2 linked regions of the Xenopus tropicalis genome follow. The protein of the gene in region 1 interacts with the protein of each later gene in a pairwise test. Links are inferred from orthologs where the notes say so. Each region holds a gene or a part of one and is shown on either strand. Other genes may lie near its edges.

Evidence for each region.
Region 2: the proteins of creb5 (region 1) and spred1 interact in binary tests that used the Homo sapiens proteins (3 or more experiments, as listed by UniProt). The link is inferred for Xenopus tropicalis from reciprocal best matches to the Homo sapiens genes CREB5 and SPRED1.

Annotation. Positions count from the first base shown.
Region 1 is NC_030682.2:42,850,819-42,855,231, reverse strand, and holds the start of creb5 (cyclic AMP-responsive element-binding protein 5), read right to left. Parts: upstream 2,833-4,413; 5' UTR 2,503-2,832; intron 1-2,502. UniProt on the Homo sapiens protein: Binds to the cAMP response element and activates transcription.
Region 2 is NC_030684.2:110,838,745-110,842,891, forward strand, and holds the start of spred1 (sprouty-related, EVH1 domain-containing protein 1), read right to left. Parts: upstream 2,865-4,147; 5' UTR 2,730-2,864; coding exon 2,707-2,729; intron 1-2,706. UniProt on the Homo sapiens protein: Tyrosine kinase substrate that inhibits growth-factor-mediated activation of MAP kinase. Negatively regulates hematopoiesis of bone marrow.

The DNA of each region.
Region 1 (4,413 bases):
CAAACACATTGGTAGGAGAAATCAAGACAATTTGAATTACTCATGGAATGTTGTAGCCACTAGTGATGACAGTATTTTGGATTTCAAGTTTAAATACTTTCATTTCATACATGACAATTGATTTCACTATCTCATCTTTTACAGTTTCCTCTTCAGTAAAAAAATAAATGTTGTTTTAATGCCACAAAGTATAATCTGAGTGCTTGGTTCAAAGAAAATATCAACTAAAGTGGGCCAGTACAAACAATTTTAAAATTAATCAGAAATAAATAAATTACTAAATTCTGTACACAAGAATCCCCAATATTATGTATAAAAATGTTATTACAAACACTATCTTTTGCTTCCTAGAAAATCACACTGATGGTTTATGAAGGTAGATGAGAAATGTACTGGCATAAATAGTAGCAAGAGCCTTTTTTTTTGCTTATTTAGAGAGAGATTAGTTCTACTGCTCATTTAACAGCTTACCACTGGAGAAATGGCACACTAAAAACACATAGTGCATTAATGCAGCTGTGTTTTCATATTTGGGAAGCACCATAGAGACTCTACTGGTATACTCTGTTAGAGTTCTAACCTGTTGCATTCTTTAGGAGCTTGGTAATCCTGAGCTTTTCAGCCGAATCATGATGCCCCTCTGTTAAATACTTCTCACCGTTCCCTTGCCATTTACTTTTGAGAAGCAGTGCCGCTTATGCTTACCTTAAGTGCATAGACAAGTAATCGACCTGCTCTAGCCACCACTGGGATCAGGCTACCTGCTCTTAATTACATCTCTTTAATGCTCAAGCCTGTGCTTCTTGTCTTGATCTCCCTTCTGTCCTAGTGACCCTCCAGACCTTTTGCACCCCCCTTTTCTTCTCATGCTCTCTGGGAGGGCAAGTCATTAGAAGATCAAGGGCTAAGGTACATCATTTTTCAGCATAATGAAATGCCACTTGTCTTTTCACCTCTACTTGAGGTTACAAGGTAAAGATGGGTCATAAGAGAAATAAGAGAATAGCACTGAAATTATATTCCCTACGGCCTGACTAAAAGAACCCTCTAGATTCTTTTGTGTATTCCGACTGATGTTTCTCTATAAGCAAACAAAGCTATTATTATACCTGCTTTTGATGTTACCAAGATTGCTATTTGTAATTTAGAAGCAATAGTTTGGTAACAAACAATATACATAAATGACGGAGTTTGAAATAATACATTACAAATAAACTTGTTGATAAGCTTTATGATAGATGCAACTGAAACAAGTGCATTGTGCTTTACAACCATGACCAACAGAGATGTGAGTGATTAGACACTGTGCTTGAGTGACAGACTGCACAGTCAGCATTTCTTACCCCTCAACCCTTTACTATCTGAGTCCGTTAATCATACCCACTTACTCGGCTGCAGCATGAGGTAATGGGCCTTGTGTCCAGCCTTGCTCTCTGAGATGTCGGATGGGAAAACATACAAATACTGACACCTAACAACCGAATAGGCACAGAGCACACGCCAACACATTCAACAATAATAGTGATCTTATCCTGCGTGGGAGGATTTTTTCAATTTTTTTTAACTAGCATACCAAAAACATTAGAAAATGATGTATGTGTAAAATGTAGAAGCCAAACTGCTAATGTCAAATATCAGCGATATGAGAACGGAAACAAATGATCATAAAAGTTTTAGATTGTACTTGTAACGTATACCCTAAAGGCATCTCAATAAATATGATTCCAATTGTCCGGCAGCCTTTTTTTTGCTGGTAAAATAACCCCTTCTGTAAGTTAAAGAAGGGGTTAAATGTCAGCAACTGGTCATATCTATCTATGACTTGGCAAAACAATGAGAATGGCAGGGATGGCAGCAAGAAGTAGTGTCTTCCTATACAGAATGACAGCAGCATATTAATGACTTGCTAATGACCTCCCTCTGGAGCTATGTGCTATTATCAGCTGAGCACAACAACACAACAAAACTTTTGGAACTTCCTATTTTGCAAAGGAGGGGGGGGGGGGGTTGGAAACACAAGTGATAGAAAGTTTCTGACTGATACATCTTCTCCATGATAAATAGCTCCCAACTGCTCACACCCCCCTCACGCAGAGCATAACTGCCCCCTTGTCACGGCAGGACAGCAGAGACCCCTCATTGTATAGCAGATAACAATAGGCTGCAGATGCTGCTTGTACGAGCCAGTTCAAGGTCTTGTGTCAAATTCTAGCGCAGGGTCCCCATTGCTCCGGGCAGCACTTAACCCGTTAGAAGCCGCGGTGGAAGCGCAAAGAGAAGCTCCTAATATAGCCATGCCCAGTAGCACAGCGACTTGAGCACCTGGCAGGGGCACCGCCACGACCTGTTATGTGACAGAATCACAGTTGAACCATACCGGGAACACGTGACTCAGCCTTCACCCAAAATCTCTTCTATACTGAGTAGAAGAATGTTGCTTTAATTCGTTCAAAGCTGGCACCAACAAATATTATCTCCCAATAATAACTAATATTAACTTACCCAAATGAATGTAGAAGATGAGGAATAAGTGTGCAGGTTTGTATGTCTCTGTGAGTGACAGGCACTTTGGTTCCCAGGGCTCCTCTCACTGGAGGCTGTGGTGCAGCAGGTAAAGTGAGCACAGTGCTAACTTATTTGGCTGCAGCATGTACAGGGCAAACACTTGGAGAAGCGAACTCTTCCCAGGCTGCTTAGAGACTCTCCGTTTCTTTCTAGAGTGGGGGAGTGACTTCCCCCTGCATCACACATACACAAGCAGTTTTTAAAGACACAGTGCCATGTACTACAAAGGAACCACGTTGGACTGAGAGAAGATTACAATACTTTCTATTTAGAGAAGCATTACATCACCCTTTGGTGACGTCACGTGGGATTCCTGAACTTCTAAATCATAGCAGTCGGCTGAGGGAGGGGGGTGTGGCGGAGGGGCGGGGCCGGCGGGAGAGAGAGAGAGAGAGTTACGTCCCGGGGAAGCTGCTGGAGATTGCTGTGGTGCCTGACAGAGCGGGGCTGAGAGAAGTGCCTGGGGCTGCTCGCAAACACTGGCCTGACAGGGGCTGCATCACTGTCTCAGGGTAATTGCCGAAATGCTTATGTGTTTGTGGGAGATGCGTCGTGCCGGGCACTCTGCAGAGCAATGGGAAAGTTTTCTGAACGATCCGGGGGAAGAGCTCAGAGCAGAAAGGACCAACCCAAAGCCGAGCAGAAATACGGATTCAGATTGCGCTTTTAACGTCGGAAAAACACTCGCGAAAGGGCCGCCAAGGGTTAAATAAAAGCCAAAATTATTATTAGGCGGTTGGACCCCTCATGTGGAGAGGGTCGTATCTTAATCCAGCAGCTCCATAAATCCGCAAGTTAGCACACTGAGGGTTAATATTCACTTTCTTAAGCCTAACAGGGCAGAATGAAACTGACATAAGTTCTTAATTTGTCCATCGCACAGGCAATAGCTAGTTATTTTTATTTTATTTAGTAGAAACAATTTTTATGGTAATTCCCAATTACTTGGCGTTACCATAGCTAGAGCATTACTGTCCATTTAGACTGGTATGTTTGTCCTTTAAAATAATAGCCTTCAGTGACTGGTATGCAGGTAGGGATATCAGTGGTTACTGCAAAGTAAACTTAGATACGGCTAGCAACCCCCAGATAGCAACCCCCAGATAGAAACCCCCAGATAGCAACCCCCAGATAGCAACCCCCAGACCTGTGACCTCTGCCTGCACTGTAATGTCAGATCTCAAATCAGTGGCCCCTGCTATCAGCTCTGATTCAGGGGCTGCTGCCTCACCTCCCATGGAACGGAAATTAAGCTTTTAAAAATGTAAAGTTAACAGAGGTGGGTTTTTGCTGCCCCTGGTAAATGGCTGCTCGCTACCACAATATTCTCACCTTGCCTCATTGCAGGAGTGACATTTCATGCAATGTGCCCCTGTATAGGACTGGCAGTCCCCAGACCTTTGGCTCCATCTAAATACACCTATATGAGTAGCAAACCTAGACCAGTGTCATCTGCCATGGACAAGGGCATTGGGCCAACCCCCCCCCCCCCCCCAGTGGCCCATGGATATGGCTAGTATTCTCCAGGCATGTGGCCCCCCACTGCATACACTGATATGAGTAGCATACACTAGATAGGGGCCCTAGCTATGTGCAATATAATGTGACAGAAATCAGACCTATTGCCCCTGCCATGTGCATCTGCTTATGGGTAGGAGACCCAGACCTGTGGCTCCTAATTCATGCACTAAAATGTAACGAAAGCACTGATAGAAGTAGTACACTCCAGCCAAGTGGCTCCTCTTATGTGCAAGAGCATGTAATAAAAACTCCGGCCTGTGCCCCCCATTGTATGCACTGAAACTGTAACAGACTTCTGACTAGTGGCCTCAGCAAGATGCATCTGGA
Region 2 (4,147 bases), on another chromosome or scaffold:
AATGAGAAGTGACCAGTAGCAATGCCAGTAGTTTCACTGCTGCTTCCTTTTTTCTGGGAGAAGAGTGGTAATCAAAATGTCTGTGTGCCATAAGCCTAAGCTCTTGTAAACAGGGACCTTTCACCATTTATACAGGTTGCATTTGCATCCAATTATTTGCATTGTGCCCCAATTATATCCAGCTATGAAATATGCCTAGTAATTTTTACATAAATTATAATATTTCTGGTGTTAATAATCGCACACACCAATTTGCACAGCAATTGCTCATATTGCAGAATAATGTACGTACATATGACATATAACGATAAGCACATTTACATATAATAATAAACGTTAGCTTACAATGAACATGCTACAAAGATGTCTTTGGTGGTGCAGTGCCTCTGCCAGCAGAAAAGCAGCTCACCTGTCCAAGAAACATGCCTTACTGCTGTTATTGACCTACAATTTCCAGCATTTACCAGTCCTCCTCATCATTTATTTATATAGCTCTGGCAAGTTACACATTGCTTTACAAAATATATCAAACAAGGGTTACAAATTGTAAAAGGGTATGGTTTGTAGAGGCTACAGAATGAAACAGTAGGATTAGAGCGGCCTGCTCACAAAAGCTTACACTCTAATAATGCTGGGAGCTGAGCAACAGCTAAAAAGGAAAAAGGTCAAATAGCCCTGCTTTACCTAAGTGGCCCTACGCAAAGGCTAATTTGTCCAACACCTTTCAATCAACTGTACTCTCCAGGATGGCAACAGAACGGTGCATTTCCCACATGAGAGTAAATGGCAACTATGCAACCTGCCCTGGTACAATAAAATAATGCAAATATATCCCAGAACAGTTTGTAGAAATATCACATATTAATAGAATAATACTGAGTTGAAGCTCGAATGTAGAAATTATTGTAGCAAATGTGAACACTAATAAGCCCAAGGTGCATAGTTCAATTCACCTTATCAGCAGGCTGATAAATCAGCAGAACTGAACAGGGTTACACAAAAGTTGTGCTGTCAGAATCACAATTGTACTAAAATACTTTTGGCGTATATATCCTATGAATCACAATATTTAAAGTGAAATAAAACAGAAATTAAACGTGCAATCAAACGCATTGGAACCAATGCATTCACTTTGGTGTTTCTGTACTTTCTAAAATAACCATGTATTACTGGCACCCAGGCATTTGATTTATTTTGAGGGTGTGCTCATCTTTCTGCATTATATATAACCATTCATGGACAAAAAAATAGCCATACAACGACACATATACAAATGTATATAATAACTGACAGCACAAGGCACACATATATGAATGTGGTACATTGTTGAAGCATAATAAGGCCGCCTCGTTAAATCATGCAAAAAAAGAAAAAATTGCACGCACATGGATACAGTAAAAAATAGCCATCTTTTCTAAAATAGGGAAATTCACTCTACGGTCACTGATGAAGACCTTCTCAAATAAACAATTTCCACATGAAAATCATATACAAATATGTAAATGTTGTACACCTGCACAAAATCAACTGCAAACCATATACAAACACAAACATGATATATACATAAACAATACAATGATGCAATAGCTATATATATAAACATACACATATATTTAATATACACACTTATATACATATATATGAATATATGTATACAAACACACGCTCCCATACATACGTGTTTGTGTGAGCACACAAAGCAGTTATGCCCAACCTGCGGCTCTCAGAGGATACTTAAAGGAGAATATAAGCAACTGCTGGAGGGCCGCAGGTTTGACATCTGCAAAATATCTGATATATACTCTCACAACTCTGGTCATGCCCATTCCCACACCTTGTGTCTCAACCCTTTCTCCTTGTAGATTGTAAGCTCTTTTGGGCAGGGCCCTCTTCACCTCTTGTATCGGTTATTGATTGCTTTATATGTTACTCTGTATGTCCAATGTATGTAACCCACTTATTGTACAGCGCTGCGGAATATGTTGGCGCTTTATAAATAAATGTTAATGTAATGTAATAAAAATATACTCACATTACAGAATGCCTGCATAAATTATGAGATGTGTCTTTGCATAGTTATATTATATACACCCATAATATACAGATAGACATGCTAGACTTTTGATAGATAGATAGATAGATAGATAGATGATAGATAGATAGATAGATAGATAGATAGATACATAGATAGATAGATAGATAGATGGGCCATTATACCATAGTGTAAGCCACACCTGCCAAGCATTGCTTAGATACAGTATGATGCACTGACATTATAATGCAAGTATTAGTACATACTGTGCTTTAGTCATGGAGACTTTTTCACACAGCTCTAGCTTATCCCATGCAGAATTGCAGCTCCAGGCACATACACACAGGTAGACAAGCCAGCCAGAAATACCTTGCCCACAACCCATGAGAGGCAACATAGAGAAAAGCATTGATTGCACTTGGCCACTATGTCCCCCATCCCCTTGCACACTCAGTGCCCATGATTAGAGTCGGGGAGTGCACAGTAGAACACACATTCTGCCTGTATGCGCTCACACACGCTCTCTGCATTCCCACTCGCACAAGTGTGCAGCGCTGGGGCATGGGATCCACACAGGGACTAGCCCGGCGCAAAGCGCTCCCTGCGCATCCCAAAGGCCTAATCTACCCATCCCGGTGCAATAGAGACCAGTACGGGACACAGGTGGCACTCACTCTGGCTCCTGTTCGCCGCTCATTGTCCCCTTTCACCGGGCTCCGATTCGGGGCTGGCTGCCGTCGGCCAGGGCGCAGGGAGGCTCCCGAAGGAGACGCATGGTGAGGGCACAGGGATCCGGGAGGCAATCGGAAGGTTATATGGGAAGTGCGCCCCGCCGGAGCATTCGAAACAGCGATAAACTGCGGAGAAGCGATTTAAAGGCAGGCCAATCCTGCGCCAAGCATCCGTGCGAGTGCGCATCCAGAACGGACCCCCCTCCCTGCGTTTCCCCTGCTCTCCTCCTCCCAGTCTCTCCTCCTTCTACTGGGGGTGGAAGGGAGAGGGAGGGTGCTCCTCCTTTACAGTTCATACATATATGTGTACATATACAGGCGCACACACACCAGCGCCTTCCTCGCTGCGCCTTAGCTTTACGCTCACACACAGACAACTTTGCAAGAGCCTTTGCATATACTTCTATTTCTGGACCCATTGTTTAACCCCTTATGTAGAAGTCCCAACGAGCCGCCTTTGAGGAGAAGCGTTTTATTTTCTTTTCGTTATATAATTGTCCTGACAGGATCCCTGGGCGATTATTCAGTTGGTTAAACACATTTATAACTTATATGTTTTTTTTTCTCAATGGAGAAAATACACAGATACATTGAAACCAGGCAGCCTGGACTCTACAGTTGCTTAATTGCCTCTTGGATTGCTGCCATACTGCCAAGTGTTCTATTGTTGAATTGGAGTGACAATGTGGACAGCAGAGCAGGATGGTACTAAAGAGCCCACAAGTATAGTAGGTTTGGAAATACCATAAACTGGTCATAGGTTGAACTATCCCCTCCTCCGTGAGGTCCCAAAAGAAGCGAATCTTTCACTGATATCAGTGTCATACTGGGACCCCAGGGGCCCACCAGAAAACCTTAGACCCCGGGCCCACTTTCCTAACAATTTTTCCTCTTTTGCTCTCTTTATTCTCCTAGTCTCTTTTATTTACATGCTAGCATCTATTCTTCCATCTATTTCTCCTCTGTGTTCCCATTCAGAAATAGGGAATGACCATGAAGCAGGCCAAATGGTCATGAGCAGGAGGGCCCACTTACACCTGGGCCCACCAAGAGTTTTCCTGGTGGGCCAGTCCGACACTGCCTGATATGCTCAGAAGCAGATATTTCCCTGATATCTCATTGATCCTATCATTTGACCCTCCAGTCAAACAATATGATTATGTTGATGGGATACAGGCCGTTGGGACGAGGACCACATCAATGCACTAATGTGTACCTCATTCGATGGGATTTTTAAACTTACCCAATTGACATCTGGTCAGATACTAGTCCAGTAGCCTGTCTCAGACCATCAGCAGCTTTTATTGGCCCATGTATGACCACCTTTAGATTGACGCACAGTGGCCGTGTATGATATACAATTATTTAAGGAGAAGAAAAGGTA